Linked DNA regions of Caenorhabditis elegans. The protein of the gene in region 2 purifies or fractionates together with the protein of the main gene of each other region. This does not show direct contact. Each region holds a gene or a part of one and is shown on either strand. Other genes may lie near its edges.

Region 1 (3,580 bases), on a different chromosome or scaffold from region 2:
TTTCTGTTTTCAATAATAATTTAAAAAAGTAAAAACACAAGTCAAAAATTCAAAATTTTTATTCGAAATTCCAAGTCGAAACTCACCTGGCTGATTCATTTTTGTGAGCCGGGAAGCGGGTCACCGGCTCACCTGAACATGGCGGATTAGTTTTTTCTCATATTCGAGGGGATTTTCCTAATAGATTTCGGGGTTTTCGAACCCAAAACTGTAAAATTTTTCCTTCTTTTTACTCTCGTCAGGTCAAAATTTAACTAAATTATGTTCCTAACAATACCCAGGGGGCAAATCCAAAACTTTTCCCATAAAATCCTTTTTCCGGGGGTCCTAGTGTGTGTGTGTGTGTGTGTGTGTCGATTCGAAAATCGTGTAAAAACCGATTCGATCCTCGATCGATATGGTGTGTCCCCGCTTTTGATCGTCCAGCGATCCTTTAGTTTCCCTCCTTATAGAGTCCTCCTCCTTTCCTCCAATAGTTTGAATGAAGCGGAGTGGAGGCTGAAACAAAACATTTTATTCGTGGTTCCTCCAACAAAAGAAATTATTGAATAATAATAGGTGGGGCTGATGAATACTTGGATGTGGTTGTTTGAATTAAGGATAGGTGATAAAAAATAGAAGAAATTGTGGATATATATATCCAAAAAGATCGATAAAAAGAAAAAGGTGTGTGTAAACAGGAGAACATGAGGCATGGAATTGTATTAGAAACAGCACAAAAAAAAAGAAATTAGCAAGATATAGTTGTATCAGAACTCTCTGTCAGACGACTCAAATTGCAAAACGATACCGTTTCAAGAATCAGACGCTGTCTCTTTATTGTGGAGATGGTGAGCGAGATGGACTGCGACTGGCCGAGCGAGAACGAGAGCGGGAACGGCTGCGAGAGCGGGAACGAGAACGACGAGGTGAGTACTTTGGCGAAGCACGACGTTCGGCTCTTGGAGAGCGCGAACGGCTACGATCACGGCCACCACCACCGCTTCCGCCTCCAGAAGAGTTGTCCTCACGAACGCGAATGTAGGCAGTTTCACCCTGAAAAAGAAAAATTTAATTCAATTTTTGATTTATTTTATAGTTTCAAAAATAGTAAAAACTCACCTCATGTGATCTGAACTTGGTGTCATCAAGCTTGCGAACAGCGTACTTGACATCCTCGTAACGAGTAAACTCGACGACTCCAGTTCCATCTCGAGCCACATCCGCATAGCAGACGTCTCCAGCATCACGCATATGATCCTTAAGATCCTGCCACGACCCGGTTGGTGGAAGACCTTCAACGATCACTCGGTATCCGGTTCTTCTCTGAGGTCCACCTCCACGACCACCACCACGTCCTCCTCGGAAGTCTCCACCGCGGTGATCACCTCCGTCTTGGAGTGGGCGACCGCCTGGGCCACGTGGTCCGACTCCACGAGTGAACTCGACGCGAATGCGACGGCCATCGAATTCGTAGCCATCGCGAGCACGAACCGCATCCTCGGCATCTCTGGAATAAAATTGATTAATTAAAGTATTTGAAATCAATAAACGAACCTGTGATCTTCGAACTCGACGAAAGCGAACGCCGGTCCACGTCCTGACTTGATATCGACGTACTTGATGCGGCCATACTTGTGGAAAATGTCCTCGACTTCCTTCTCTCGGACGTCTCCTGGCAGGTTGCCAACGTAGACTTTTTGGTCCTCTGAGCCGCCGCGTGGCATGTTTAGTACACTGAAAATGAAGAAATAATTATGATTATTTGCAAAAAATCGGCGACTGAAGATTATTGATAATAAAAAAAATACTGGGCCTAAAATCCTTCAAATTACTGCATTTACTTGACTGAAAAGAAACCCAGAATCGAGTAAAATTTAGAAAAATGAATATTCTCAAGCATTTCTTCGAAAAAATAATAAAAATTGTCTGAAAAAACAAGAAATGAGTGTGCCACGGCCTTCGTTTTCGAAAAAATAACGACCGCGACGCGACCGCAACGCGTCATATGAGCATTCTCCCGCCAAGTTTGAACGAGTTCGGTGGAGCGCGCCTGCGTTATTTTTAGTCACGTATTTTTTTATTTTTTGTGGTTTTCGGTTTTTTATTAGAAAATAAGAAAAAATAATAAATTTCAGAAATTCTAAATGCCAAATGAAATTGAGGAAGGCAGTGGTTTGGACGTTGGTGAGTTTTTAATCGAAAATTTAATTATTTAAATCGAAAAACTTGATTTTTTCAGCCTCCCGACTTGCTGGAAAGAAGAAATGGGTTACTTGTTCCATTCTGCTTCTCGTAAACCTGCTAAACTACATGGATCGATACACAATCGTGGGAGTTATGTCGCGGCTTGCAACATTTTTCGATATCGACGATAAGGGGCAAGGCCTTTTGCAAGTAAAAATTGAATAAAATTGTGGAATATTAATTAAAAACCGAATAATTTCAGACAGTTTTCATTGTGTTCTACATGTTTTTCGCGCCATTATTCGGATATTTGGGTGATCGATACAATCGAAAAATGCTAATGATCACTGGAATTTGCATATGGATTTTAGCAGTCTTTGCATCGTCTTTTTGTGGGGAAGGGGTAAGGGAAAAGGGAAAAAAACGATAATAGAAAGGAAATAATGTTGGAATAAATTACTAAGACAGTCTGAGCCCACTTCCAGTGGTAGATCAAAAGGCGGAGCCAAAAACGCGGGAAAATCGCGGTCTGGAGGTCAATGAGCCCGATGGGAAGGCTCTAGAGGTCAATCCAATAATGGAATAATGACACCGAGAAGAGAGAAGATAAAAAATGACGTTTATAACGCTTTTTTTGGCAATTTTTGCAAAAATCATGCGAAAAATGCTATTTTGTGGCAAATTTTCACTGGAAATACACAAATTCTGAATATTTTGCCGCGAAAATCGAATAAAAAGAGAAAAAAAAGAATATTTTTGTAAAAAAATTCCTATAAAAAGCGGAAAAATTACCAAAATTCTAAGATATTTTTTGGAATATCAAAAAAAAAAGTGCTTCAAAATTTTGAAGAAAAAAAATTTAAATCTGAGTTTTTTGGGGCAATTAATGCATTTTTCACCAAAAAAAGAACACAAATTTGGATTTTTGTGAAAAATATTCTTTAAAAAAGCGGAAAATGTCCAAAATTCTGAGAAAAAACTAAAAAAAAAAAAAAAAATTTTTTTGCAATTTTTTTGAAAAATCCCTCAAGTGAATAATGCGTTTTTTCTCCAAAAAATTGATTTTTGTGAAAAATATTCTTAAAAAAGCGGAAAATGTCCAAAAATCAGAAAAAATGGAGTTTTTTTTTCAATTTTTTTGAAAAATCCAAAAAATACTGATTTCCGGCCATTTAAGATAGGGCTTCCAGGTAGGCGTTGAAACGCCTGCCTGCCTGACCTCAAGGTGACCTTCGCCTGCCTCAATCTGCGCCTTATGCTCTTTGATTTCACGCAGGCCCTGAGCCATAATTTTAGCTTTAAAAAACCTGAAAAAAATGGAAAAAAAAACATGCAAAAGGCGATAATTGAGAAACTTTTTCAATGAAAAATGGGCAAAAAATGGTGATTTTTGGGACAATTTTTCGTGAATAAT
Region 2 (5,737 bases):
GAAATTTTAATTAATTGTTCAGTGAAAGTACATTAGAAAAATTAGAAAAAAAATTACTGCAAAATTTGAATTTAGCTGACTATGTTTTGCCAATTTTTGAAATTCTCCAAATTTTGAGTCCCGCAACGAAACGCATCGAAATTTCAAAAAAATATTGCAAAATCTGAATTCAGCTCATTGAGAGCTTTGAAATAAGTATAATCATGACTAGGTTCCTTTAACTTTGGAAATTTTGGGTCTCGCGACGAAAATGGGGTTACTGTAGCTTGACATTTTCGTGGTGGGACCCGCTTTTTGCAATTCTAAAAAAATAAAGTTTTTTTTATTTTCGATTATTTCTGGAAGCAAAACGAAACACGTTTTTTTTAAAATTAATTTTCTAAATTTACTTATGATTTTCGACTTTTTTTAATTTTTATTTTTTGAGAAACCGAAACATTTTGAAATTTATTTTTTTTATTTTTAAAAAATTATTTTCCAATTTTTGTGCACTTTCAAATTCTTATAGTAAAACTTTTCCAAAAATGTATAAAACTCTCAATTACAGAATACATTTAATTGAAATTGTGGGGCGATTATTTGGGGTGACAGAAAAATTGGAATTTAAGCTTAAAAATTACAAAAAAAAAGAGAGAAAGAAATAATAAATTAAAACAATCAGATTTTCAAAATTTGAAGTCCTTATGCTTCTTGCCACTGGATCCTGACGACGAGGATGATGACGTCTTGTTCTTCTTGTCATCTTGAACTTTGCGTTTTCTCTGAAAATGAAAATTTAATTTTTTGAGACGATATTTTTTTCTATTTTTTCAATATTCACTTTTACAGTACTCATATAGTATCCCTACAATACTACAACGAAGAAAAGAAAACACTTTTTTTCAAAATTACAGTACTCCTACAGTATACCTAAAGTCCATAATCCCATCCATTATCGTTTCAAAAAGAAATATTTTTTCAAAACTACAGTACCCCGGTATCTCCACTATTTTTTCAAAATACAAAAACAGTACAGTATCCCTACAGTACCCCTAAAGTTTTACTACTACTACAAAACACCTACAGTACTCCTGAACACTGGTGTCAGAATGTCTCTTTTCGGTTTGATCTCCGAAAAATGCGGGAGTAGAGACGCAGAGTTCTCAACTGATTTTGCATGGTTAAAAACGTGCCGCCGTCATTTTTTTTTTGGGCAAAAAATTCCCGCATTTTTTGTAGATCAAACTGTAATGGGACAGATTGGCACCGCGTGCTGAAGTAATTTTACAGTAATCCTACAGTACTACTAGAGTACTTTTACAGTAAAATTAGGGAAATTCCAACAAATTTCAAATGTTTCTTTGAATTTTCAAGAAATTTTTTTTTTCGACACACTAACATTCTGTTTGGCAGCGTGCTCAGCCACCATATCCGTCAAATCCTCTCGATCCTCATCATCATCATCCCGATGCTTTTGCTTTCGGAGCTGCTCCTCGTACCGAGCCGCCAGTCCTTGCTCATCCATATCAATAGACTCAGGATCCAGCGAAATCTGAACTCCATCGTCACGAACCGCATGCTTCTTGGAAAGATCATAAGTATGGGAGGATGCCATCATTTGTCCACCGATACGTTCGTTCTTCTTCTCCGGAATGATATGATAGGCAGCCGCAGGAGTGTCTGTTCCGAGCACAGAGCTCTCTTTTCCTTTCCGGAGCTCAATCGTGTCAGGAGTCTCGATTCCAGTGATTCCAGTCGTCATTCCAGATGGTGTGATCATTCCCTCAACCGGTGCAGGTGTCTGGAATCCTCCTTCAACATCAGCATCATCATCGTCGGCATGTTCTTCCTCCTCCGACTCTTCCTCGTCACTGCTCTCGTCGGATCCGATCTCTCCCCAATATCGCCGCTCGATTTGCGATTCGTCTTCGGGCTCGAAAGCTGGAGCGGCCAATCCGAACACGTCTCCGTACAGAGGATGTCCGTACTCGTCGACTGGTGGTTTTCCCCAACCTCCTGCGTGATAGCCGAATGCGCAGCCCTCTGAAAATTTCAATTTTTTTTCCATTTTTACGGCTTTAAAGTTGTAGTCGAAATTTTTTATTGCTTTATTAGACTCGAAATCGTTTAAACTACCGAATTTCATAAGCACACTTTTTTAAAACCTCAAAAAAAGTTATGGTGGCTCAAAAAATGACCTACAATCCGTTAAAATTGAAAATTTAACCAACTTTTCAATGTGGCATCTCCCAAAATTTACCAAAACTTGTTTTTTTTTTGAGTTTTTAATTGATAAATTTGGAAAAATTGATCAAAATATAGCACCTCGCATTAAACATTAATTTGTCGTGTCGAGACCCAGTATCGTATTTTTTGCTTGAAAATCGTGAAAGAAGTTATTTTTTATTTTTCTAAATTTGATTTCATAATTTTTTCAACCAAAACCAAATTTTTTCTGAATTTTCAGACATTTTTTTTTCGTAAAATGTATTTACTGAACATAAAATTGTCAAGTTTGTCTTAATTTCTTTCAGGATAACATGTTTTTGCGAAAAAAATATCTGAAAATTTCATAATAATTTTTTTTGGCAGAATTTATGAATATTTGTGTGTTAAATTATGCGAAGAAAATTTTTTATCAAAAGAAAATTATTTATCATTTTGCAAAAATTTGGCGCTTAAAGCGGGTCTCGCCACGATCTCAGTTCTTGTGGTCGGTACAGGTGCAAAAATTCACAGATTTGTTAATTTTACGTTGAAAATGAAATTTAGCAGGCAATTTTCTAGGTTTTTGGTAATTTTATGTTGAAATGTAAAATTTTTCATAATGTTTTTTAGATTTCTGCTCTAAAATAGTACATCCAGAACATTTTACCGTACCAGGAATCGGCGCATTCAATCCAGGAATCTTAATATGCGGAAAACTGGGCGGTGGTCCGTAACGTTGCATCGCAATCAACCATGGCGGTGGAAACTTGAACGCATTCGATCCGATGGGCATTCCCAGTGCAATTCTAAGCTCATCCGACATTTCACCCGGCTTCTTGTCTCTCATCATCGCCTCCATCTCTTTTCCTTCATAGTAGAGCTCGCCCATTTTTGTCATAGCCGGCTTGGTTTGCCATTTGAAGAACGCGTCGTGAAGTTTTTGATAATCAATATCGATTTTTCCAAGCTTCGGGCGGGCCCGCTCTCTCATTTTTGATTTAAGGCTCTGGCTTTCTTCTTTTTCCAGCAGCGCTTCTCTCATATCCTGAATTCCGGTTCTTTTAATAAAATCTGGCAACTCAAATGGTGGCCGTTCGAATCCTCGCTTTCCGGCGAGATATTTACGCTTTGCATTCCAATGGCGTGGAACTGGAACTGAATTTCTATAAGATTTCATTGCGACAAGGAGATACGGATCACGAGAAGTCACATCGGCCCATTCAACAACATCGGCTCGAAGTGTCGTCTCTTTAAGCTTTGCAATACTCGGTTGAAGAGAAATTCGGAGTTTTCTACGCGAAAGCTTCTCCTCTGTGTTTTCTTTGGCACGTTCTTCCATCTCCTCTTGAATAATTCGCTCGGCCTGACCGACTTTTCCCAAATCATCCTTTTTCTCGCCTTTGGAAACGTGATGGCCGTAGGAGAAGCCGTCTTCTGAGTCGGTGGAGATCTGGAAGCCGATATATTGGAAAAACATTAACAAATAGTGATATGTTACCTTAAAAGCATCAAAAATTGCGGAAAAGTATTGAGCGTGCGGGTTATCCGGCTCAATTTCAATTGTTTCACCGATATAATCGATTTCCACGTCAAGATCGTCACCATTTTCCTCCTCTTTTTTCGGCTCCTCTCGTGTTTCTATTTCAGCTTGCTTCGTGGCTTTTGCTCTCTTCTTCGATTCCTTCTTCTTTTTGCTTTTCTGCTGTTTTCTCTTCAACTCCTGAAGCTCCTTTTTAGATAGGTTCTTGTTAGCCTCATCGTCTGAATTGTAGTCATCCTCGCCTGACATCTGAAAAAGGAAAACATTTAGTTGAAAATTGAAAAGTTTTCAATGAGGAAAAGAGGTTTTTAACCGCAAAAACGTTGAAAAATCTAAAAATTCGCAAAAAAAATTTAATTCGAAGAGTACGCAATGGGTCGGTGTTTGCGTACCAAACACTGAAACCGACGCCAAATACTCTCCGTCTCTCATTTTTGCACACTGTTTTATCATTGAATTTTCTCTTTTTTTTTTAAATTTTTTTAAAGCTTTATAATGCTTTAAAAAGATTAAAAACAGAAAATTCAGGTTGAAATGACAGAGCCATCTACATCAGGAGCCCAAGACCATGACGATTATCTAGTCACTCTCGTGAGTTGCAAATAAGCTGAGAAATACTGCCATTTTTTATAGATTTCTTTTTTCAGAGCTCCCCTCAACGCCAGTGCACCATCCGAGTTGTTCAGCCAGCTTCTGCATTAAAACGTGATTATTTATAAATATTATTTGTGAAATTAATTTTTTTTAACCTTCAGGAAAACTCCCAACTTCATCAGTTCCCGAATTCAATCCAGACTCCTACGGGGAATCGATTCCCGAAAATGCTCCAAGGCCTGTCTGCGAAACCTGCTCCGTGGCCTGGTCAACATGGGCGGCATACGAGTTCCACATGCTCCAGACTCATATAATATACCGCCCGTTTCGATGCTCTGGATGCCGGAACTTGAATTTTCACACCGAAGATGAAGGAAAGCACCACCTGGAACATTTTCATGGTGGCAAACCTGGCAGTTTTCAGGTGAAATTTAGTATTGCGTTTTATATTTTATTTAATTAATTTTTAGCTCATCAAACAGACGGATTTTGCAAAGGAAAATCAGTTGATCGAATGTCTGGAAAATGCAAAAACCACCGAGCAACTCGGAATTTCGAAAGAACGACTTGAAAATGGGCTGAAAATGATTGAAAAACTTCAAAAAATCAAGTTTAAAGCTGTGAAAGTGCATCTTCCATGCTGTCTTCGCCATGAAATGATCTCAAAACACACAGAAACTGAAAAAGAAGCGCCGCCACAAGAAAAATCGGTTACAAATGCTCAAAAGCCCGGCAATCCAGCACTTCTGTCTCTGGAATCCCGAAACTACGACTACGAGCAACAAGATACTGTTGGAATTTGATAAAAATGAAATATTCATTCGATTTTCCGTCAATAAAACTTCATCACAAGATTTTTATTCGTTTTTTGAAATAAAAATAAAATACAGATTTTAGCGCAGACATTTAATGTTTTATTCATTTTTCTCAGTTTCTTCTGCTACTTTGGAAGCGCTTTTTTTGCGAAAAAGCTTCAGTGACACAAGATAGGAAGGCTTTACAAGAATGTGTACTGAATTCTAATTATTAAAAAATTTTATAATTAAAAACCGCGAGGCACAACGCGAAATGAAGAGGCGCAGGCGTTTGTCCGCAAACACCGTCACGCAACTTTGCAGACTTGAATTTTTTTTGTTTTTCTTTTCCAGATTTTTCCAGTTTTTTCCAGATTTCTCTCTAAAATTAATACTTTAAAGCAGATAATTTTCGATTTTAATCAACAAATTCATTTTTTAAAGTAAAATGGCTGCGGATTCTCAAGATGTAAGTGTTTTTGCTAGAATTTACGGCACAATTTCCTAAATATTTTTCAGATCTACAGAAACTTGTCAGCAGATGACTATGAGGCTGCTCCAATTGTTGTTGATAGTGTCTGCCCGGTGTGCGAAGAAGATGTAGGCGTCCAATTCAGTTTTT

Evidence for each region. The genes of interacting proteins can lie anywhere in the genome.
Region 1: the proteins of sftb-2 (region 2) and rsp-3 fractionate together in Caenorhabditis elegans (co-fractionation; one large-scale study listed by BioGRID). This does not show direct contact.

Annotation. Positions count from the first base shown.
Region 1 is NC_003281.10:12,686,201-12,689,780, forward strand, and holds rsp-3 (putative splicing factor, arginine/serine-rich 3), read right to left. Parts: upstream 1,717-3,580; 5' UTR 1,707-1,716; coding exon 1,537-1,706; intron 1,490-1,536; coding exon 1,102-1,489; intron 1,036-1,101; coding exon 817-1,035; 3' UTR 501-816; downstream 1-500. Other genes in the region: spin-4 (Major facilitator superfamily (MFS) profile domain-containing protein), read left to right, coding at 2,127-2,166, 2,222-2,376, 2,429-2,569. UniProt on the Caenorhabditis elegans protein: Plays an essential role in embryogenesis.
Region 2 is NC_003283.11:126,476-132,212, reverse strand, and holds sftb-2 (PSP proline-rich domain-containing protein), read right to left. Parts: upstream 3,977-5,737; coding exon 3,686-3,976; intron 3,638-3,685; coding exon 2,860-3,637; intron 2,023-2,859; coding exon 1,379-2,022; intron 762-1,378; coding exon 666-761; 3' UTR 542-665; downstream 1-541. Other genes in the region: W03F9.2 (C2H2-type domain-containing protein), read left to right, coding at 4,262-4,318, 4,375-4,432, 4,483-4,745, 4,792-5,124; W03F9.1 (Zinc finger protein ZPR1 homolog), read left to right, coding at 5,564-5,584, 5,635-5,715.